Linked DNA regions of Schizosaccharomyces pombe. Changing the gene in region 1 together with any one later gene gives a genetic interaction. Each region holds a gene or a part of one and is shown on either strand. Other genes may lie near its edges. The genes, in order: gyp1 and ubc15.

The links.
Region 2: of gyp1 (region 1) and ubc15, changing one suppresses a phenotype caused by changing the other (phenotypic suppression), as found in Schizosaccharomyces pombe (2 studies listed by BioGRID, with this or other methods).

What each region holds. Positions count from the first base shown.
Region 1 is NC_003423.3:775,420-788,533, forward strand, and holds gyp1 (GTPase-activating protein Gyp1), read left to right. Parts: upstream 1-9,146; 5' UTR 9,147-9,693; coding exon 9,694-11,238; 3' UTR 11,239-11,726; downstream 11,727-13,114. Other genes in the region: syj2 (inositol-1,4,5-trisphosphate 5-phosphatase 2), read left to right, coding at 354-2,587, 2,633-2,851, 2,897-2,948, 2,999-3,163; CENP-A chaperone, NASP family, Sim3, read right to left, coding at 5,653-6,843; SPOM_SPBC530.02 (transporter), read left to right, coding at 12,259-13,114. UniProt on the Schizosaccharomyces pombe protein: Stimulates specifically the GTPase activity of ypt1. Functions on the Golgi as a negative regulator of ypt1.
Region 2 is NC_003423.3:3,516,301-3,528,197, forward strand, and holds ubc15 (ubiquitin-conjugating enzyme Ubc15), read left to right. Parts: upstream 1-6,469; 5' UTR 6,470-6,574; coding exon 6,575-6,619; exon of another isoform or gene 6,620-6,701; coding exon 6,702-6,845; exon of another isoform or gene 6,846-6,848; intron 6,849-6,923; coding exon 6,924-6,953; intron 6,954-6,970; exon of another isoform or gene 6,971-7,029; coding exon 7,030-7,255; exon of another isoform or gene 7,256-7,325; coding exon 7,326-7,384; 3' UTR 7,385-7,845; downstream 7,846-11,897. Other genes in the region: cell wall glucan 1,6-beta-glucosidase Exg1, read left to right, coding at 1-61; pmc4 (mediator complex subunit Med4), read left to right, coding at 1,189-1,908; TREX/TREX2 complex subunit Pci2, read right to left, coding at 2,166-2,454, 2,497-2,748, 2,804-3,301, 3,349-3,506, 3,573-3,704; EMP70 family endosomal transport protein Emp70, read left to right, coding at 4,061-4,259, 4,408-6,098; RAVE complex subunit Rav1, read left to right, coding at 8,373-8,459, 8,575-11,897. UniProt on the Schizosaccharomyces pombe protein: Catalyzes the covalent attachment of ubiquitin to other proteins. Has a role in the formation of chromatin structures that influence the localization of transcriptional silencing factors.

The DNA.
Region 1 (13,114 bases):
GTAATGAAATGGTCGAACTTAGCTTTTACACAACTTTTTTTACTGTTTTCATATATACAGGCCAAATTAAAACGCTAAAAAGCGTATTTCTTACGCATATATATTCGGTAGTTTGGCAATTTGTATAATATAATTGATGATAACAAGCTGAAGTTTATCAGGTTTTCAACCAATACGATTAAATAAATATTTTCAGGACATTCCTTTTGTTTCAACGCTTAAATTTAACTTTTTCACTGGAAATCTACAATACTTGCTAGCTATGTGTATCTCCTTACTGCGTCAGTATATCTACGTATTTAGTGTCTACCATCCACGCAAAGCAGGAAATAAGCATATATTTATTTCCTGCCATGCAGTGCTATCTCAAACGAAAAGAAAGATCTGTTGCATTTATTACAGAGAAATATGCGGCAATTATTCAAAAACCGTCTGTTAAGGATTCTGATTGCATAATAACATTCACTTGTATCTCACTTGAAGAATTCGAAAAGATAAAGGAATATGAATTACTTTTTGGAGGAGAGAAGATATTGGGAACCCTTGGGTTGTTTAATTATGTATGTGAGGATATGAAAGAAGGCGTTTTCCTATGCGTTGCCCGGAAAGCAAAACTAGTGCTTCGAATTGGTAATAGAGACCCAATTTCGAAACTTGAAAATGTCTCCTTCATCTCTTTAGATCAGGAATTATGGGATGAAGAGTTGTTCGAACCCATGCCTCGTAATAGTTCACCAAGCTCTACTTTTTCGACAAGCACTTCTGACTTGAATAATATTGAAAAAGATAATTTGGTTAATAGCGAATATTCTAGTAAATACTCTTCAACTACTAGGATATATCCATATCATTCCCTTTCTCAATTGACCGATTTGCTCACCGATGGTTCATTTTATGTCTCTACAAATATTTCTTGCTTTTCAAGGTTTCAATCCGAGCAGCCTTATGGTCCCAAAGATATTTATTGTTGGAATAGATTTCTCATAACGGAATTGGATAACCACTTCTCTGAAGCCCATATTTTGGAGAAATTCCCGAACCTGTTGCTCCATTGCTTTCGGGGTTATGTTGAGAGAATGTTCATTGATAGTATGTCTATGAGTATAATCTCCAAGGTATCTAGTTATGGCTCTCGGCAAACATACCCTCCCTCTGGTATTGATGATTCGTCTTATTGTTCTATGTTTGTGGAGACAGAATTTATTGTCGAGATCGCACAAACGGTCTTTAGCTTCGTACAAGTTCGAGGGACAGTCCCATGTTTCTGGGAGGAACAATTCTCTTCTTGGTATGGACCCTCTATTTCTTTTTTGAGATCTTCGCAGGCAAGTCAAAGTCTATTTAATTTTCACTTTAGTAAGCTATACAAAGCTTATGGTGATATATATGTAATCGATCTTTTACAAACAAAAGGCTTTGAAGCTTCGCTATATGAAGCTTACAAGCATCACCTTATGCTTCTACCTTTTCCTGCCGTTGTCAAGAAATTCCACTTTACACCTGATCCTGCTCGTCCTGACATTGATCCACGATTAGAGACCGATTTGGCCGACGATTTAAAAGAGATGGGCTATACTCAAAAGTCTATTGAAAATGACATGTTGGAATCTTTCCAAAAAGGAGTGTTTCGGATTAATGATTTGGATTGTCTGGGACGCACAAACGTTATTCAGTATCAAATATCTCGATTAGTATTAAAGGATATATTTTTTAACCTTCAAATAGGAGTAACTTTCAATATTCTTGAATACCTAAGACATCTCTGGTCTAATAACGGTGATGCTATTGCGAAACTAATTACAGGGGTTGGCTCCATTGGTTCAAGCGCTACCCGTAGAGGTCGTAAATCTATTGCGGGATCTTTAAGTGATATATCCAAATCTTTTGGCCGCATGTATGTTGGAAGATATCCAGACGTAGAATCTCAAAATGCCATTTTATTGCTGTTGGGATGTTTTCCGAATCAAAGTCCCGTACTCATATCTGAATCCGTGTCTTCTTACATCCAAGGTGTGCTAAGACAACGTCGTTCTGAATATAGAGTCGAAAGGGATTTTAGCATATTTTCGTCGACATTTAATGCAAATGGTAAAGTACCCAGCACTGATGAATTTAAAAGGCTGTTACTTCCATTTGGCGAAAGAACTTCCGCTTATGATCTTTACGTTGTAGCGGTTCAAGAGATAATTACCTTGAACATGAGTCATCTTGTTAGTTCAAGCAATCAGAAACTTAGGATTTGGGAAGAGAAAATACTTATGATTCTCAATTCTCGAGATTCTAATAATAAGTATATGTTAATTAGCTCTATTCAAATGGCAGGTGTTTTCCTTGGTGTATTTATACGGAAGGATGATCATCTTGTTGTTTCAAAAGTTACCAAAACAACTCGAAAGACAGGCTTTGGCGGGTTTTCTGCCAATAAGGGTGCCGTTGCAATTGAAATGAATGTTTGCGACTCGGATTTTTGTTTTGTTTCTTCACATTTCGCTCCTAAGGTTAATAATATTTCGGAGCGCAACATGGAGTATACAAGTATATCTGATAACCTTGTTTTTCCATCTGGAATGAAAATTTATGATCATACGTATGTGACGATAAGTATTTAAAAAATCATTACTGACAAACATAGGAACATTTTATGGATGGGTGATTTTAATTATCGTATAGATTCTGATAACGAAGAAGTTCGAAAACTTGTTGAACTGGACGACTTAGACAAGTTGGCTTCATATGATCAGTTATGCACAGAAATGAAGAAAGGCACCGTGTTTCATGGTTTAGTTGAACCACAGTTAACATTTCTTCCTACTTACAAATTTGATAATGGAACCAATGATTATGACACTTCGTACGTTTACCATAAACCAAATCCACACTGTTAACATGGCTATAGAGATAAACAGAGAGTGCCTTCATGGACAGATCGAATCTTGGCCACAAAAAGTGTAAGTTGTAGATATATTTCAATGTAGTGTACCTCTAACCGAAACTTTAGTTTACTAGGAATTGCTATAAATCTTGTGACATTAGATGTTCCGATCATCGTCCTGTATTCGCTACTTTCAGCCTTAAAATATTCAGTACTTGTATGGACAAGAAAGCCGGAATCATAAGAGACGCAAGGATTGCTTATATTAAAAGCAAAAATAGTAATAAATAGTCGTTAACGATTATTTATGATCTACGCCTCCCTTTGCTGAAATTTCGTATTTCCAACTATTTAAAGTGCACATTTAATCTATCTATTTATTTTTAATTTTTGTTTTAAAATAATATATTTTTTTGATGTTTCCTTCGTATTATTAACATATTAAAGAGAGAAAAGCATTCAAACTATATAACCAAAAAACAGGCATAACTTAAAAAAAGGGGTAATAAAAGCAAAAATATGATCGTAAACCCAATCTAAATAAAATCTACAACTAAATCATGAAAAGCCTCGTGAATTGAATAAATTTGGTATTCACAAGGAAGTAATAAATGAACCTGGATTGAATAAATTCTCGCTGACTCTTTCCAAGCACACCTAAGACAAAGTGTAACCGAAGAAAATATTTAATGAAGTTCCATGAAAAATAATAATGGGGGAGGAAGAAATAATATGTTCACAGTTTAACCATGACATGTGATGAGGGGCATATATTTTTATCAATTCAGCTCAATAACAAATTTATCAAAACAACCGAGAAAATTTGCCAGTGTTCTTACTTTGAGATGCAAATAAAGGATGAATCAAAGCTTAAGGATAAACAGATATAGTCTCGTTCACAGCTCCATGCCGAAAAGAGCATGATCGCTACAATTGAGATGTGGGAGAGGCTCAAAACCCACCCAATGTAAGCTTTTTACTAAATAAGGGAGAGAACTGTTATTTTTATCAACGAATAATACCAGCTTCGAGCAGTGAAGCCGATCCACGGCTAAGTCTATGATGGCAACTAATCCTTCTTTCAAATGAACGTCTTCCCAACTTTCAGGTATTAAAAATAGAGTCTTCGATCCATCCTCTTCAGTCCGAACTATCCCATGCCAATAGTTCATGGATTCTGCAACACCGATCCTTTCATCACAATCATATTTTCCTCTATGTCTTGAATTGCCTTCCTCTTCATTTACCGTCTGTTCCTTCAGTATGCCGGAGGGCTTAGGCAAACACGTTCGAAAACTGTCACTAATCCAACGTGGAACATGGCGACGCCTCTGCTGCTTAAAGGCAGCACGAGGTCTTGAGCGCTCAAGCGCCTCAGGAGCACCATTCCGCGCCCCCTGCCGGCGTAGAGCCATAAACAAACATTTGATCCTTCGTGGTACATAAAGCTAACGTGTTGCGTCGGCGTCCATGTGTATGATTTTGCCCTCGTGGGTTTGGTGCAAAGTGAGAATTTAAAATATCGGCGTCAGCATCATCCACATTTGACAATTGGTACATTCGATTCCTAAACGCCATATTCTAAGATATTTCTTACTTAAACTTTGGCGTATGATGCTTGGATTTGGGGATTGATTTAAAAAAAACCAATAATGAAAACTTGTTTTGTTGTATGTTCTTGCAGACTCCGTAAGTAGGTATGTGAATAAATTGCTTAGATAGTAGAACAAGTTAGAGTGCACAAAATATATATACGGTAAATGTGATTACAATTCCTATAGGTGAACAGCGCTACAATACGTTATAAATCACTATTTGGATTCTTTATCTAGAGCCGTTTCTACGGATATAGATAAATAGTTATCTAAGAAAGGTCGTTTTTCCAATCTGAATCCTTAAAAATTAAATTTTAAAGGAATTTACGCCCCTTAAGCTGATTGTGAGATGCCCAAACACTGGCATGATTAAACCATTAAAAAAAATACTACACATTGTTTATTATTATATTCCTGTCTATATCAATATTGTACTTCACAATTAAATTGCCCGTTTAAAGTATCCTTAAGACATTTACAGAGTATGTACCTTGTATGGTATAGTGTTTAGCAGACGGCTTAGATAGCGCTATTTGATATCCATCTTTTATCAAATAGAACAAAAATAATTTTTTTTAGGAGTAAAGGAGTTGGCATTTTAAATTTATGTTTTTTTACTTAAGTTTCCATATTAAATACGTTGAAGACTATAACTACAAGCAATCAAAGTAGCTGTTTAAACATGCTCTTTAAGAACTTTATATAATTATAACGCCATTTTAATTTAGTACTATCAACTGCTTTGATTATCTTATTTTTCAACCTATATAGAAACGTTGCCTTATAAATACCTGCTTAATGCAATATTTCGATTTTACGTGTTTGACACGTACATGAGTAAAAACATATATTTCTTTTCCTTAATTTTTTAAACTGTAGGATCGTAAATTGCAATATCATGTCTCGAACCCGTATGCTTAATGAAAAAGATGCGGAATGGATCTTTCATATATATTTTAGGAAATGACCCTTCATAAGATTCAAATTTGCAAGATAGAAAGAATAGCACATATACATATTTCATTGCGATTATACTAAACAATTCCTTTGTAATAAAGCAATTAAATTTTAGCAATTAAAAAGCTCTTTTGACATATACTCCTAGGAAGCCATTGTGTATGTAAATGAAGAACAGAAATGCTAAACGATTGAGAGCTCTTGCTAACTTCAACTAATTGTGATCAATTAATCCTTCTTTTTCTTATCTTTAGGACCTTCTTTTTGAGAGGAGCTAGTAACTTCTTGCTTCGTACGTTTCCGTTTTACTAATCCACCTAAATCATTGGCATTTTTCACAGCTTCAGCAACAGCTTGAGCGAGACTGCTGCTATCCTTAGATAATAAGGATGACTCATGCATCTTTGACATAACAGCTTCTTCCAAACTTGGCGCGCCATGCTTTAAATCAAGCGTCTTTTGTTCAAGTTCCGATAGCATTTCGCGCAAATTCTCAAGATCGCTAGTTAACGTGCTTTCCTCAGCCTTTTGCTTTCCTTTCCCTTTCTTATCCGTAACTTCATTTTCCCGCTCATTTAAGACATTTTTTAAGATTTCTGCAGCCTTTTCCACATGTTCACAAGCGCGGGACTTGTTAGAGGGATCTTCTGGATTGGTAAACTCAAGTGCTAGTGCAAGCTTATAGTGGGCTTCACTTAAAAGTGTATTATTTGAAACGTTGTAAACCTTTTCTTTCCACTCAAGGGCCGTTTTTAAATCCTGAGAAGCCTGAGAAAAGTTTTCAATTTCGAGAGAAAGTTCTCCCAATAAATCGTAAATATCCGCCAGTCTTATCTTTTCATCCTTACTGTCAGGATAAGCATCTACTGCTTTTGACTGCATGACTCTTGTTAGATCTAGCACCTCCCAAGCAACGTTAAAATCGTCTTCATCTTCTTCAGAAGCTGGAGATGCTTCGTTTGTTTCTTTTTCTTCACTTTCCTTCTCTGGATGTGCTATTGATGAATTTTCTTCATTGACGGTATATTTATTTTCAATTTTTTGACCAGAAAATGTGAACGAGCCAATAGCTTCTGGTTCTTCAAAACTTTCGGTTGCTTGAGACACAGACTCCTTGGCACCCAACGCATTTCCCAGGACTTGACTATTTTCAATAGCTATTTGAAACAGAGATTTTCCATACAGCCAAAGAACATTTCTATTCTCCAAACTTTCAGAACCATGAATGGACTCTGACTGCATGAGCGCTTGACCATACTTATCAACGGCTTCCTCATAATTTTTTTGAGCATAAGCCATATTACCTTGAGTGACTAGTTGCTCAATTGCTCGCGAATCCGAAGAAGAAGGGTTTTTGGTATCAGCATCTGTAGCACTATTGCCTTTGCTATTTTCCAGTGTTTTCGTATCAGAAGACATTTTTCGCGTAACTTTTAAAAATTATGAAGTTCAAGACTTCAAGTAATAGGTACGACAATTAGATATTACGCTAGGTCTACCAAAGTGACCCAACAGACTGAATAGTGAAAAAGAAAAAACGACTCGATAATTCACTTTTTTAGATTAGAAATATTAATAAAAATATATTCTGGCTTTTTCTCCTAATAGATAATGAGTTAAAACCACTCTGTTTTGTTCTTAATAAGTAGAGGTGAGCCTTTGCAGATGTATGAATCTATTAGCATTGGCAAGTAATGGGAGTAAGATGAAGCGTATATAGGCGAGCGTTTGATGGCATAACAAGAGCAACAAATTGAACTTATTTGTTTTCCTTTGTTAATAACTCTATTTTAACGATGTATAGGATTCGTTCTGACAGCTTCATTTTTATTCCAGCAAAGCGAAGCAAAACGGATCATTCGCTTCGTGCCAAAACAATGTTGTTTTATGGATTAAAAGATGATCTTCTTAAAGCAGCCATGGCTAAGCATTCATAATACGTGATAGATCATGTTATAGACTTCATCTTTGTAGATCATATAAATGCTTAAGTGTTGAGTCAATGACACATAGACTGTACTTGTCTATTTAATTTGTCTAACGTATTACATTCATAAAAAGCGCGTAAACGTGTTGAGTCTTATAGAAGTTGTTATGACTAGCAATTCAAGAACAAGTCTGATTCATAACATTATTTAACATTTCTTTATTCCATTTCATTTTATTCTTTCTCTATGTTAAAATTCTTGACTTTGCAATATAAACAGACAAATATGCACCAAGTAGCTTGTACAAATAGCTCCTAAACGATCTTTGAATGCATGAAGATAATATTCTATATACCAAGGATTTGAATACTTCACGATCTTACTGTATGAATATATAAACAATAAATAGAAAATTTCTAGTGAATCGACAGTACTCTGACTGATTATTAATTTTTTCTTTAAAATGTTTAAATATTCTACTTTAAACGTCTACGGCCATACCTAGGCGAAAACACCAGTTCCCGTCCGATCACTGCAGTTAAGCGTCTGAGGGCCTCGTTAGTACTATGGTTGGAGACAACATGGGAATCCGGGGTGCTGTAGGCTTCCTTTTATTCTTTTTGCTTTTTGTTTGAGCTCATTTGGGAATAATAATCATTTACCTTGATTCGTACTTATTCATTTCAATACCTTTGCACATAATATTATTGTGTACTATGAATGATATTTTGGCAACCAGGAAATCTTCTTACAAGTCGTAATACGACTTAAAGGGAAGATGTATGGTTTATTTTATTGTCATACAGTAACCTTTATTATTGGATTGGAGTTGTAGTTTCGATTTCATCACAATGAATAACGATACTCTAGAGTGTTTTCCAAGATGTAAACGAGAGAAGGAAAGTGTTTTTTGGATGATTATTAAACTTACTATAATTTTTGATTGTTCTCAATATAAAATTTATCTTAGTACATATTTATTTTGTTCTCATGTCAGTTTTGGAGAACATACATTACAATTTCTTGACAAGACAACATTTGGAAAATTGCTCTGTTCATTAAAACATTGAAAACCGTATATGTTTTTTAAATCATTCCTCTTCAATGCATTTGTTGAAGTAATTTTACTGAATCAAAGATATAAATACATGTTTGAAAACAAATACCCGAAACTGCTAAAAAAAAGACTGGGATTGAAAGTTAGACTAGATTCGTTGATCATCTACTTGAAAAATGTGTTTTGTTAGAAATATATAGGAACAGGAAAATCTTAGACTGTATTTCAGGAAAATTTAAACTTAGTAGGTATTAAAATGCTTATAATTCATCGTATTATATTAGGTAACTAGGATGTCAATACGAAAAATAACAATAAAATCAGAGATTCATTATTGACAGGAAATACTTTTTTACGTTTCTTAATCAACGTTTATACTTTTCTCTTTTTTGTTTTGAAAAGCGACTAGTCACAATTGTCAAAATTACATTGTTCACTTTTACTGGCAGCAACTTAAGTAAAGAAGAGATAGAACTCATAGATATAAACATTGTTAAATGAGACCTAGCTGTGTATCTTTTACTACTCTGCGCATATAAACCCAACATTCCCAAGCAATAAGACCATGCACGGCCAAAATCCTTCTATCAACTGTTCATGGCTTAAAACGAATTTCCTTTAACTAAAAAGTGAGATAAATAATTAAAGTATTAAACCTTGCTCCTTTTATTAAAAAAACCTCATATATAAGAAACTCCATACACCTACTGTTTTCCTCCCTATTGTTTTGTTCTTCCACCAAATAAGGGCAACTGCCTTGGCAACTGCACAGACCGAGTAAATCTTCACAATTTCGTTGATATTCGGTTAAAATTTGTAAATATACTAGTGTATTGGATTGTATCTAAGGTTTTCTCGAAACATTTGTTCGTGTTCAAATTCCGCGCTGTTCTAATAGATCACAAGATCTCGAGCTGGTGCGTTTTCGTTTGGATGGAACCCACAGACACGGCTTTGCTTCTAATAGCTTAAGTTTTTTTTTTTTGAAAATAGTTTTCATTTGATAAGAAAAGAATAAGACTTCAAGTCCGGTAAGTCTATGAGTGGTGCCTAAGATCCTTCGTCGTTAAACATTTGAAGTTATTGCCTTCTAAAACGTTTCATCTACTTTTTACAGCAAATTTTGAAACTGTTTTTTGCATCTTAACCAAAAGTATTTTATTTTGGCGATAAATTCAAAGAGTATCTGTTATTTGCTAAATTTGTTGTGTCCATCAAGGCTATCAAATTACTGCTTCATTTTGTAAAAACAATTTTTCTTCTCGTATTTTAAGATTTTCCACTATGGAATCTCAGTCAAAAAAGTCGTCCGCCTTAAAAACTCTCTCCAGCTTATGGAATGGATCCTCTAGCGCCACTTCGGATCCAGTTACTGTTTTGGATCGAAGCCGGACCCATCACCATCGTGGTCGAAGCACTTCTTCCAAAGCTCAACCGTTCAGATTGGACGACTCTGTTTACTCAGATCAACCCCCAAAAGATCATATCTCTTTGGCCCGGTCCATAACTAGACCCGAATCTGCTAGTGAGTCTAAAATCTATGCACCTTCTGCGAGATCTTCTCTTTCCTTGGAAGCTGTTGTAGGCAAAAAAGTGTCTGCAAAGTTTGCCAAATATTTGTCACAGACAGATGACGATTGGGGAGTTTCGAATATTAAAGCCTCAAAATCTCTTCCTCGTATGGCTCGAAGTACTACTCCAAATTCTTCAAGCCGCTCCTTATTTCCTCAAAATGGCGTGGATACTACCACTTCTAGACAAAAGCTTCATTCGTCTGGTCGTTTTCCTTTACCCGCTAAACTAGCCCATCGTTCTGTAGAAGTTGAGGTTGCTGAAAGCAATGCGCTTGTCTCTCGGATCAAGAAGTTTTCGCGAATTCTTGATGCTCCAATTGTGGATTTAAATGCGCTTCGTACATTGGCTTGGAATGGAATTCCCTCCGAACATAGACCTATTGTCTGGAAATACTTGTTAGGATATTTACCTTGTAATGCTTCTCGTCGTGAAGTCACTTTAAAGCGAAAGAGAGACGAATATAACGCAGCAAAAGATTCCTGCTTTAATACAAATACAGAGCCACCACCTTTGGATCAAACTATTTGGCGACAAATTGTCCTTGACGTTCCGAGGACGAACCCCTCTATTCTTCTTTACCAAAACCCATTGACGCAGCGTATGCTTGAGCGTATTTTATATGTTTGGGCCTCACGGCACCCAGCCAGCGGATATGTACAAGGCATCAGCGATTTAGTTACTCCTTTTATTCAGGTGTTTTTGTCCGAATATATCGGCGATAAGGACCCAATGACATATGACATTGCTCTTCTTGATGAAACTAATCGTAATGATATTGAGGCTGATGCTTACTGGTGTCTTTCTAAATTGTTAGATGGTATCCAAGATAACTATATACATGCACAGCCTGGAATCCGTCGACAGGTGAATAATCTGCGAGAGCTTACTTTACGTATAGATGAGCCATTAGTAAAACATCTTCAAATGGAGGGTGTTGATTTCCTTCAGTTTAGTTTTCGCTGGATGAACTGTCTTTTAATGCGCGAGCTTAGTATTTCGAATATCATTCGGATGTGGGATACATACATGGCGGAAGGTGTCCAAGGATTTTCTGAGTTTCACCTCTACGTATGTGCTGCATTTTTAGTGAAATGGTCGAGTGAATTACAAAAGATGGAATTTCAGGATATATTAATTTTTCTGCAGTCTATTCCGACAAAAGATTGGAGCACAAAGGATATCGAAATTTTACTATCTGAAGCTTTCCTATGGAAATCATTGTACAGTGGAGCTGGTGCACATTTGAAAAGGTAAGGCATAGTAGCCATTTCGTTTTCCCTTTTCAGAGCATTCGTCTTCTTCCTTAATCCCTTGCTTATTTTGGCATAGCAGCCTTTTTCAAATGCCATCCTTCCTATGCATTTTTATAATTAGGTTGACAAATCTCCTTCGTTAATTCATTGTGTTGCTTTTCTATGTTTATGAGCTTATGAGTCTAAGTCTTACTTCTTCTAATAAATTTTCCTTTCATTCACCTAAATAACTTTTCAAGTTTGCTCCTTAACTCAGCTGGATTGAGTTTGCGACTTTTAGAATTTATCATGCAGGATAAAGTATTTCTCTTGAAGAAAGTCTGAACTACCTTAATCATTTTTGGGAAGTTATTAACCCTTGAATTAAATTGTATATTCACTATTACTTATATGTAATTTGTCTTTACTCTTACGTTCGACCGTTCTCTAACCCTTTTCCAGTTTGACTTACGTTACTACTTTACTATTCAACGATTGTTTAGTCCATGGCGTGATACTTTACATGAATCGTTATTAATATCATTTTTTTTTCTCTTCTATGCTAGTCATGTTTTCTTTGGTTTTATCCAAGATTGTACATTACGATTTCAAAGTACGACTTTTGTATTGGTAAGAGATGATGAAAATCGACAAGACTGTACTACATGGTCTGTGTCTTCTTCCTTGATTCGACCAAAATGTATGGATGAATTAGAGTAGATAATGAAAACGCTGTGACAATTTTTGAATATTTATACAACTTAATACAGTTTTTGAACTGAAATAAAGAAGCACGTTCCATTGCGTTATAGAATCATTGTATTACTTTTCATGAAGAAGAAATCATTTATTTATAACTATAGGATCAATTTCTTATCTTTTAAATTTCAATACTCATAGCTTTTTCATGCTGATTTTGCAACTGCTTACCACAACAGCATTTGCAGTGACTGTTTTTCAAACTATATTTACTATATAAGGGAGACTTTGCCTATTACCTCTACGTCTGGCTTAGGAGCGCAAATTAAGCGATAAGAAAGAAATGGATCTGTATCTTTTAGCAAGCGGCAGAAAGTTTGGGGTTGTAAAGTCTGACTGTATATCCAATAACGGAGTAAATGTGAAGGATGTTGGAAATGCATTGAATGAAGGTGTTGTTGGTGCTATTGACGCTACCCGTAAAATGGTGGTTTCATTAGGAACAGTAATGCCTGAAATTCAAAAATGCGGTGTTACTTTTGAAGAGAGCTCCGAGGATGTAAGTGATTTTTATTTAGTAAGATGGGATAGCATTGATGATCCCTTAAATCCCAAAAATTGGCCAATGTGGAAGAAATGGATTGTTGTAGTTCAAATATCCTTAATAGCATTTGTGGTAACTTTTGGATCGAGCGTATACTCTTCAGGTATCGGTAATGTTTCAATGGACTTTGGGGTATCGATTTCTGTTTCTTCTTTAGGCTCTTGTGTCTTCTTGGTTGGCTTCGGGTTTGGATCGTTACCATTTGCTCCTCTCAGTGGTATCTATGGAAGATTTGTTGTTTATTTTTGTACGTTGTTGATGTTTACCCTATTTCAAATTGGTGGAGGTTGCGCACAAAATATATGGACATTGGTTATTTTACGTTTTTTTCAAGGATTTTTCGGTAGTACGCCTTTATCAAATTGCGGTGGTACTCTAAGTGATTTATTTACTCCCATACAAAGAACGTATGTACTTCCTGGCTTTTGCACCTTCCCTTTTCTTGGCCCCATTTTTGGACCCATCATTGGTGATTTTATTTGTCAGAGCTACTTGGGTTGGTGTTGGGTGTTTTGGATAAATATGATCATGGGAGCCGTGGTAATTGTCATTATTTTTTTCTTCATGCCGGAAACTCATGGGGATACCATTTTAG
Region 2 (11,897 bases), 2.7 Mb from region 1:
TGAATACGGCGTATTCCCTCAACCTTTCACTGATAGACAATATAGCTCTTACTGCGGTTAAGCAAAGCCATATCAAAGTTAAAAAAAAATTTTATCTATTCTAGCTGTATAACACTAATTTATATCTCACACATCGTTGTCATGTCCTGTCCTTGCATTTATCATCTACTATCATTTAACGTGCTGCTATCTACTATCCATTCAGTCTTTGTTTGTTTGGCATTATCTTTAGACATTAGTTTTTAATATATATTGTTGTTTTCGAAATCTTTTAGTTATGTGATATTAATATTTTGGTAGCAAGTTCCTACTAAATTAATATTTAGCTTAATAGTTTACGTTCAATATTGCATATTTTTTCGAACTCTATATTAACAGTAGCTGTACTTTGGAGAAAGTTGACCGAGAAATCTTTTTAAAGTTGTCCAATTGAATTTTCAATTATCAAGTATCTTCAGTTTACTTATATGAAATGTATTTTCTGCTCTACTCTTATAAGTCAGTATTGAGCCACATAGACGGACCACTTTGAGTTAGTCTCGGAAAAGCAAATCGACAGAATAGGTTTTCACTCAGCCACAGGTGACATATGTTTAAAATACTTTTATAAAAATTACATTTAAATTGAGCGATTTCTTGGTAAAGTAATATTACACATTTTCTGATCTGATATAGGCTTTATACGCATTAAACGAAATAAGCTCATTAAGCATTCTTTAACGAACTCGCTTTTTTAATTTAATGAGATATCTAATTCACTAGTATGTATTCATTATGTTGTCCCTAACAAGATCAAAATTGTTACACTGTAAATGTAACGTAGTTTGTCGACTAATTTATACGAATAATAGCTTTCTTCTTGCCCAAATTAGTGAAATTTGTTAGACAATTTAAACAATTAAAATCATATACAGAATTAAATTGACTAATTCTATTTAATCGAGAGTAACTTAAGTATTGTTCGTCGAGCGTATATACCAGCTGCTACTTATTGCCCTTGTGGAGGAGGACATTACTGTAATTTACCGTGTTTTAGCACATTAAACCTTTTAAGGATGTCTGTTTAACTAACGGTTACGGATGTTTAAGGAGTAAAAAGTCGAGTCTGCAAAATAACTGTAACCTGACCTACTAGATGATCGAGCAATTGTTGAGTAGTTAGTATATAGTAATCACATATGCTCCCCAATGGAATATCAAAGAGCCATTGATTCTATTGAAGAATGTCTCAATAAACAGTTAAGACTGTCATCCGAAAAGGTTGACCAATATGTACTAATAGAAAACTGGACCTCATTAGTAGGCCACTTGAAAACCTTACACTCTTTAATATCAAATTACACAAATGGTAGAGAATTACAAAATGAAATTAGTTCTTTGCTGAAGCAGGATAAGGAACTGGATTTACAAATTCAAGACTGCATGAGAGAAATGACCTCAATTTATGATACCCATCTTCCAAAAACAGTGTCGGGGAGAAAACGACAAAAAGTTAATGCTGAAACACTCCTTGATTATGGTAGAAAACTTTCCAAGTTTTCCTCTGCACCTCCTGGGTACAATCCCGAGACGGGTCAAGATGCAAAAGCTCCTGTGCATTATCCTTGGCCATCGGAGGACCAGATGCGAAAAACTCTGTTGTTTCAGTTTTCAACTAGCATGGTTCCAAATTTATCGGCTACAGCGTCCCAATTATTTTCTGAACAGCCTCCAAAGACGAACGAGCCAACGGAAACAGAAACAGAAATTGATGCGAACAAAGCCGTTGAAGAAAAAACTAAAATGAATTATCCTGCCTCTCCAACATTCACTACGCAAGAGGAAAATAAAGAAGTAGAATCGCCAGCTAATAAGGATGTCTTTGCAGGATTTGATCTTTTTGATCCAGAAATGGAAGAAGATTTTTGATTCTAAATTGTGTTATTTGTCAAGTGATATCTGGTATTTTACTTTTCTAATTATAGAGTTTTTTGCTTTGACCAAATACCCTTTTGTTTTAAAAATGAATAAAATTACGCTTTGCCGTTTAGACTGTATTTATTTAGCTTTCAGACTTCGCAAAGCAAGATGATTGAACACTGTTCCTTGCTTAACATTTGTCAATTCAAATTTAATTAATTTTAAGTATAATTTTCGAACAATCTACGTTTTCTGAGTTCATTTAATTATGCGTTAGCATGAAAAAATTCCTTTTCTGCGTGATCATTCCTTGCTATGGGCATAAGGCTCTCTATTACAGAAAAACCGAACGATGGGTCTTTTTTAAGGACTAAAGTTGATGATGCATGAATGATATAACCTTTAATATATCCTTGGTCAATTAGAGAAACACAGATACATTCGACATCGTCCATGTCATATGAGTTATCATTTGTACTTAAACGGGCCGCGGTTAACAAGTAAGAACCAGATACGTGCGGGGTTTTTTGGCTTTGCTCAAAAGTAAAAAGAAACCTTTTTAAATTAGTCGAATATTTTAAAAAATCTCAAACGTACACCTTTCTAAATAAATTCCTCCACAGGATGATTTCACATCTATCCAATAAAGTTAGATATATTCCTCGTTTGATAAACCATTTCCTCCTGGAATTGTCCTCCAAAGATAATCTGAACGACTTGATATCACCACTTTTCAAAGCTTTTATTAAAGGTTCGAATGCTGCAGTCAATTTGTATTTTTCTAATAGCCCTTTTGTTGGCGATTTTCCTAATATAAGTAAACACGTTGTAAGATAGATTAGAGAAAGCCTTTTTTGATTAGTAAATATAAACGAATCCTATTTTTGAGTAAAATAAAACATACCTTTTTTGATGATAACACTCATCAGGGCACTGAAGAAACGAAAAAAGTAGATGGTCCTTTGCCTGATGAATTTTGCGTTGATAAAGATGACACCTTCCTAAATAATAACGAAACGTTACTAATTCCGCCATTGTAGCGCGAGAAATATCGGCACCCGAAGAGATGACATTAGCTTGAATAGTTTGGCAAAGACGAATTTGCTTTAAGCGAAAATATAGTAAACAAAGTAAATTGGCAATACAGAATATCGCATCCTTCTTCGAAGGGTTAATGTTTTGTTGACGATCACTCAGTATACTATTGAACGTTCGTAAGACGTTCCTAGATGCATCGCTCACGTATTTCCTCTGTATGAACCCATTACCATCAAAAGAATCTTCTAAAGTAGGTGTAGATGTATCTAGCTGAAGGGAGAGCTTTACATAAAGCTTTGAAACGCGTTTTACAATTGTACACAACCATGCTCCATCGATATGGGAGAAGCAAGTTGTCAAGTTACTAGAAAAACAAAAGTGAGAAATAATAAACAAAAAGTTTTTAATTACCTATACAAGTTTTGTAACAATTCCCATTTTCGTTGATCAGGAGAAGATGCAGCATTTTCAACGTACTCAAAATAGGTAGTTACCAATTCCTTCCAACCTCTTATTCTTCCAAATTCTTTTTGAATGGTTCCGTTTAACTTATTTTTCCCCTTTCTATCCTTTATCACGGTTAGTTAATGTTATAACCTGAAGACAATTACTTGTAGTGCAAGCCTGCGACATACCAAAAAAAGAGTTTTACTGAGCTGTTGAAACGAGGGCTCTGATGGATCTAAAATAATACATTTCTCCAACGTATTGGAGTTTTTCTCTCCAACAGCGTTACTCAAAGTTTGCAGAAAGTCATTTAAGGACATTCCAACCTGTTCCTTCGCAACTTTTAGTACTAAACTTTCAATTATTATGTAACGATAAATAAGTTATAACAAGAAAACTCAACAGATATGTTTTCGCTTACATCGATGTTCTCCAACTCTCACGTTCTGAACCTCATATACGAATAACGAAAGTTAGCAGGTCGTAAACCGGTATACGAGGATTGTTAATAGCACAATAAAGAGACATACTAAGAGTACAGCAGCATTCCTCAAATTAAATGCTACCAGCATCAATCCCCAAAACCGTAGCACTTTATATTGATTTAGTCTTAATCATCTCGGTTTGAAAAGATTCTGTTTCGAGTCTTTGCCAAGAATTAGGGAAATAGTAAAATATGCTTTTACCTAGTATTCCCTCGTGTTCATTTAGCTTTGTTGTTTTCGTTTCCGTTCTTCTCCAAACCTGTTTTAGTTTTCAATTAACTCCCTTAAGTCCGAAAAACTATCCTCCCGGTGCTTCAATTGATACAACTGTCAATACCATTTCACCATTTATTGGAGATGGACGGGGTTCTGACATCTTTAATTATGAATGTACGTGGTTGATAGCTCACATGAAGGTTCATGTGTTTTTTTAAAAACTTTACAATTTTAAATTAGGAAAACACTATAGAAATATGATTTAATGAAGGATATAACATTTTCTCTCGAACTTTTTTGCTTGTTACTAACTTCACTTTAGACTACGATGAGCGTTTCCACTTCTGTCGACCAGAGAATATCGCAAAACAATCTGAGTCACTTGGAAGTGTGCTTTTTGGCGACCGTCTCTACAACTCTCCCATTGAAATAAAAATGCTTGAAAACCAGGATTGTGTTCCCTTGTGTGCCTCGATAATTCCCAGTTCAGATGTCAGTTTTATTAGAGATTTAATCTCCAAAAACTACGTTGTTAACTGGAACATAGATAATCTGCCCGTAGCAACATATTTAGAAGGGACTAACTCAAAGAACTACTCATTATCGCCAGGCTTTCCATTAGGCAAGAATACGGAGAAGGGAGTAATTCTATTCAATCATTATGATATAGTTATAGAATATCATACGACATCTAGTGACCAACACCGTGTTGTGGGTGCTTATGTAAAACCTGTCTCAAAGGAGTCTACTTTAGTTGATGGAAACCCAGTTTGTTCTTCGTCTTCAAATCCACAGTATTTACCGGAAGGAGCTGATCTTACTCTCGTGACCTCTTACTCAGTCTCTTGGAAATATTCCGATACTCCATGGGCTACCCGATGGGACAAATATATGCACATTGAATCTAGGCAAATTCGATGGATCTTTATTATCCATTCCGCAATTATTGACACATTTCTAATTTTTGTGGTTTCTATTATTTTGTACAGAACGCTAAATCGTGACATTAATAAATATAATAGCGCCTTTGTCGATCAAGAAGATGTTCAAGAAGATTTTGGTTGGAAGCTAGTTCATGGTGATGTATTTCGTCCACCTCGTAGACCCATGCTATTTTCTATCCTTTTAGGGACTGGTGCACAACTTCTTTTTATGAGCTCTGGTATCGTTTTATTTGCAATTTTTGGCATTGTTGCACCCTCTCGTCGTGGAAGTTTAGCTACAGCAACGGTGGCCTTATTCATTATATCAGGTTTCGTTTCTGGTTATGTATCTGCATTATCCTACAAACTGATGCAAGGTATGCTTAGAAAGCGAAATCTTCTGTTAACTCCTTTTGTCGTACCTGGTTTTATGCTTGCGGCAGCTCTTTTCTTTAACATGGTATTTTGGAGTAAAAGTTCATCATCAACTGTACCCTTTTCAAGCTGGCTTCTACTCATTTTCCTGTATCTATTGTTTACTGTACCATTAAGCTTTGTCGGTTCTTTAATCGGCTTTCGTTCTCGAGAGTTCGTCCCACCTGTTAGGACAAACCAAATCCCTCGTCAAATTCCATCTCATAGTATTTGGCTTTCGAGTTTTCCTAGTGCGATTATCGGTGGATCTATACCATTCCTCGTAATCCTTATTGAATTGTTTTCTATCCTTGACAGTTTATGGTTTCACCCATTGTATTTCATGTTCGGTTTCTCGTTCTTTTGCTTCGGTATTTTAGTAACCACTTGTATCATGGTTTCCATTATCACTGTTTATTTCCAATTGTGTTCCGAAAACTACAACTGGTGGTGGCGCTCTTTCATAACACCTGGATTTTGTGGAATCTATGTATTTATATTTTCAGTATTTTACTGGTTTTTTAAAATCTCATCATCTTCCCTTGCTACTGCCGTTCTTTATTTCGGCTATAGTTTACTGATTTCTGTTTTGGTATTTTTCTTATGTGGATCGGTTGGTTTCTTTGGCGCCTTTCTCTTTGTTAACAAAATTTATGCGTCCATTAAAATTGATTGATTATTCGAGGCATTTGTACATACCTCTTTATTTATTGTTCAATTTGAGCTTTCTCCGTTACAAACCTTATTAATCAACAAAATGACTTGGAGAACACTCTCTTTTATATTCAAATAATTTCATAGGAATATGCCGTTTTTTTTCGGTCATCCAATATATAACTACAGTTTGTTTTACTTTGTGTAATAAAACCTTAGGTACTATATCATAGAAGAAATTTGAAAATTGTAATCTTAACCAAAATGTTTACTTAGAGTAAATTAAATTTATGTTTTCTACGTTAAAAGCTTTATTATATGTTACATAAATAATACAAAAAAGGAATATTACTCTAACTATATTTACGAAGCTCGCCCAAACCTTTTTCAACTACCAGTATTTCGCCTTCAGCTCAACCCTACTTTAAAAATTGTCTTTATATTACTTTTTCTCAGTTTACCAAATATTTAGAACGTAATTATTAAAATATCGGAAGTATGCCTTCTTCTGCTAGTGAACAACTTCTTCGAAAACAACTAAAGGTAAGCGCACGAAATCTTCATATCCAAATATTCATGATTGTACATAGTATCTTAATTCTTGAACACATACTGATAGATATAGGAAATTCAAAAAAATCCTCCACAGGGTTTTAGCGTTGGTTTAGTCGATGATAAATCCATTTTTGAATGGGAAGTTATGATCATTGGACCAGAAGATACATTATATGAAGGTGGTTTTTTCCATGCAACATTATCGTTTCCTCAAGTATGTATTTATGTTTCACAGAAAAATAATATTTGTTGTATAAGGTAAACAAGCTGGTCACTAACCTCGAAAAATTAGGATTATCCTCTGATGCCTCCAAAGATGAAGGTATAGTAAATACATTGATTTTTTAATTGATAGAAACTACATAGTCTATGCCTAAAAACGATTCTAACGGTAACAGTTCACAACGGAAATTTGGCACCCTAATGTTCATCCGAATGGCGAAGTTTGCATATCGATTCTTCACCCACCAGGAGATGACAAGTATGGATACGAGGATGCTGGAGAACGTTGGCTTCCGGTACACTCTCCGGAAACCATATTGATTAGTGTAATTTCCATGCTTTCTTCCCCTAATGATGAGTCCCCTGCCAATATAGATGCTGCCAAGGAATTTCGAGAAAATCGTGAGTATATACTAACCTACAAACAAAAAAATTTACTCTTTAATAATCAAATCGTACTAACTTTTTCCAGCACAAGAATTTAAGAAAAGAGTTCGTCGACTTGTTCGCAGGTCAATTGAAATGATTTGAAGATAATGTTCAACCTAGGTCCCTAATTTCCTATATTTAGAAAAAAGGCTATGAAGGAAATTCAAGTCGCTGCATAGAAAACCTCCTAAGTCAACTAGCAGTAAAGCTTACTCAAAAAGTCTGTAGCTTTACAAGTTGAATTGCATATTTTATGCCATCTTTGAAGTATTGCCGTTGCCCATTTTTTGAATAAGTTTAGCAAACTGTTCATTTATTATCACATATAATGAAATATTGGCAGAACGGTTGACATTTTAAAACTAACAGCTTTTGATTCTTTTCTGTTTTTATTATAAAGCTTTCAAGTTTTTCAAGTGTTACAACCGCAAGTGATTTATCCTACTTCTTTACCAATTACAGCCATAATTTAGATAAACAACAAATAAAAATCTACATTTCACGATTGAATTTTTTTCTTTGAACAAACGTCAGCTAATACTTCGTGAATTGATAGTTTTCCATTGAAAATTTTCTATTCAAGTAATTATTTTCGCTTATACGCTCATACTTTATCAGCGACGGTTTCAATTCCGCGTTTTGCACAACATACATTGAATGCAGCGATAAATCTCAGTCTATTATATTTTACACTAACTAGCTCAATGTCTCCTACGTATCCGAATGACTGATTCAATGATTAATCAAACCAATTAAAGAATCTAGCGAAACTTCGTTGAGTTTGAAAATTAAATACTCAGAGTAACCATTTAAGATGAATATTAAAATTGCATTAAGAACCGTGAAAGCATTGCCTTTTCATTTAGCGTTTTTTTATTGCATTATGCTTAAACTTTTCAGAATGACAATTAATATTACGCTATTCCGCAGTATGGTGGTGTTCACACTGGTTCAAATGCGTATATGGAACGTAGACAGCTATTAGGTCAAATCAGATATTAATAGCTTTTATCATTGTCATTTCTCCCTTAACTATTTGCAAGTCGAAAAAAATCCAATTTTAGCTCATGCACAGCGTTCTGCAGTAAACATGCCTCTGGCATTCACAAATCCCGGTACACCTCTAAAACGTACAGCTGCCTACGACAATGTACAATGGAACCAAAATCGAATATTAGTAAGTGAATGGACGCAAACGATATGCGTTTGTCTGCTAGTGGTTAAACTGCAGAACGAAAGCAGCATGTCAAAGTATTGTTTCCAATTGAAGTAATTGTTTAACTAAATGGTAGACATTTGGAACTCGCTATACCGTATTAATTATTGTAAATAACTACGAATCTTATCAAAATATACAATTTGGAGAGTCTATTGGTGCAGTGGCTTTGGACCAACGTACGGGGTTTCTAGCAATAGCACATGGACAAGTTTTGGATATTTATAAGCCCGCCGATTCTTTGAAATGGACTCATCATTACAATTATATAACTCAGCTTTCTGAAGATATTACTCAACTATCTTGGGGATACAATTTTGATCTGTTGCTTTGTGCTTCGTCATACACTAAACTTATAAATTTCTCTGAAGACAAACCCAGGTTGGTTTGGTCGCAGAACAGAATCTCGGATTCATTCCTTAGTAGCACTATTTCTTCCGATGCTTGTTTTATAGCTTCTATCGAAACAAAAAATCCACTTGCTAAAGTTTGGCAGCGAACATCTCCTCAAGGTACAGTTAGCTCATGTGATGATTTCAGCTATCTTGTTCATCCTTGTCGCGTAAGGTTTTCCCAATGGTCTAAACACCTTCATCCGGACGCCAGTGGATCGACTCCCTTCCTGAGTACGGTAGGCTATGATAACGTTCTAAGAATTTGGCAAGTTGGTAGCCGATTTGGTTCTCAATTAATGCATCTTTCTTGTTTTCTTAACTTGAGAAAATACTACAAATCTGATCAACCACCATACTGCTGTTTTATTGATAAGGACGATTTTACTATAGCATTAGCACATGCTATAAGTCGCCATTCTGGTCAAGTGCATAAGGATCGCATTTTAAATAGGCTTCTGGCTTTGGCCAGTGGACAACCACATATATTTTTGCTATTTACTTTTGAATGTTTGTACATATTTTCTCTAGTAATTGACCAGGAAACTTTGTCATCTTTTGAGCTTATTAATCAAGTTCCAACGAACTTTCCCAAAGGCGCTCTTCAACCTGACGGATTTATACCTATTTACAGGACCTCAAAACACGAATTTTACGATTATAACATCATTTTATTTTTTCAAAATTCCGCCCGTGAATACATGTTTAGTCTTACCGATTTCTTTTATAGTGACTTTGAGTTAAGAGTTAGTTACGATTTTTATGGACATGATTATCCCATAAAAAGCTTAACAAGAACCTCTAATGGTCATGGAATTGTATCCCGAGATGTTAATCGTATCTGTATGTTTCAATCATACATATCGCAAGACGGGAAAAATCAGTTAATTTGCAGGTTCAGATTATTACTTGGAGAATCTGACTTTATATTACCTCTTTATGCTGGTGAATATGCAGCAGTACTCAACTTAAATTCTTTAAAATTATGGCATTGCAATGAAGCAATTCCTCCAACCCTTCTCTGTACATGTCGTCAAGTCCCTACTAGTCCGATAATAACCTTCTTTATTCTTCCTGTTCAAAACAACGATAATTCCGCCCTATGTGCTTTGACGGAAGGAGGCCATGCCTGGTTTTGGAGTGTCTCTAACGAAGCTCATGATGGTTCTGCTGTACTTCGGTTTATAGATCGGGTAAATTTTACAAAGAATTTAAATATCGCATCGGCTGTAGATGTCATGGGTTGGTCTTCTACTTTAAATTTGAGCAGTTTATCTTCATTTGATCAAGAGGTATTTCAATCAATATCAAAAGACGGTTTATTACAGACTTGGATGGCAAGAGTATTGGGAGACGATAAAGCGGAAATATCGGAAATTTCCAAAGTGCAAACTAGCATCAAATCTGCAACTATGATCAAAGGCTCAACATCCAAGAAAGTTGCTGTTGTATCTGAGAACAATCGTCGACTTTCAATTTTCGACACGCGTAGTTCAGAATTCTCTGAAAAGGAAGAATTTTCCTCTGTTTTTGATGATTATGGACCAATAAATGACTTGGATTGGACTTCTACTCCCAATTCCCATTCTATCTTGGCTGTTGGCTTTCTACATGATGTTATTCTTTTGTGCCAAAATCGCCGATCTTATATGAACGATATTCCATGTTGGTCTCGTATTCGTAGATACAATCTTTTAGAATATACAAATTCATTAATATCTGACTCTTCTTGGTTGGATAATGGGACTTTAGTTACTGCCATTGGTAACGGACTTTTTTATTTTGATAATTCACTTCCCGAAGATCAGTCTTTACTGTTCCCTGCATCATTGAAACGTTCCGCAAAAAATATTTTTGATCTTGCATACCAGCTTAATGGAATTTTACCAGTTTTTCATCCTCAATTGTTGCAGCAGCTTTTACTTAGAAACCAACCCTTTCTATTTACTAATATTTTGCTAAGGTTTTACTTGTGTTTGAAAGATGATGTAGATATGCATTTTCTCTTAAATATGGACTGCAGTGAGTTTTACTGCTGTGACGAAGAAATTTCTAAAGACCTTTTAATAAAAAGTCTCAGCCAAAATTCTGCGGAAATTCTAAATCCTGCGGAATTGGATTTTGAAGAGACCAGTGTCTCAAAGCATTTAGGATTATACATTGATGAAATGATAAAGAAGTTGACTGCATTATTAAAAGTAAAGAAAGTCAAAACCCTCACTCGATCATCTCAGTTTTTACTTCTTAATTTAATCGAGGCATTCAATAAGGCAAGAGCATTGCGAGATTCATTGGACCTCAACGGAAAAAGATATTGCATTATGCTAAACCAGTACGTTTTATCAAAACATCAACGTCAATTAACAAGCTTGCCCACCCGAGAGATGGCGTGGGCTTTTCATAGCTCTAACAAAGCTGTTCTGTTGGACCACACTAAAAAGCTTCATGGAAAACCATTGTTATGGAATGCTGTTGAAGAATATGCGATACCGTTTTGGCTAAATGAGCAGCTACTGAAAGATGTATTTTTAGAGCTGTCTCGCAATCATTACGCTGAGATTGACGATAGGAACCCAGAGAATGTTAGTTTATATCACATTGCTCTACACAAAATAAATGTATTTCGTGATCTTTGGCGTCTTGCTAGTTGGCATAAGGAATCAGCTCGAACGGTTAAGTTGCTTTCGAATGACTTTTCAAAAAAGAAGTGGAAAGTGGTTGCATCCAAGAATGCTTTTGCACTTTTAAGCAAGCACAGATATTTTTATGCTTCTGCATTTTTTCTTTTGGCAGATAGTTGCTATGATGCCGCAAAAGTATGTATCCGTAATTTAAAAAGCATTTCATTAGCCATCGCAATGACTCGAGTCTATGAAGGCGACGATGGTCCGACCTTAAAGAGGCTAATAAACGAGTATGTACTTCCTTTGGCTGTATCTCAAAACGATAGATGGCTCACCAATTGGAGTTTCACTATTTTAAAACAGGAAAAAAAGGCCTTGCAAAG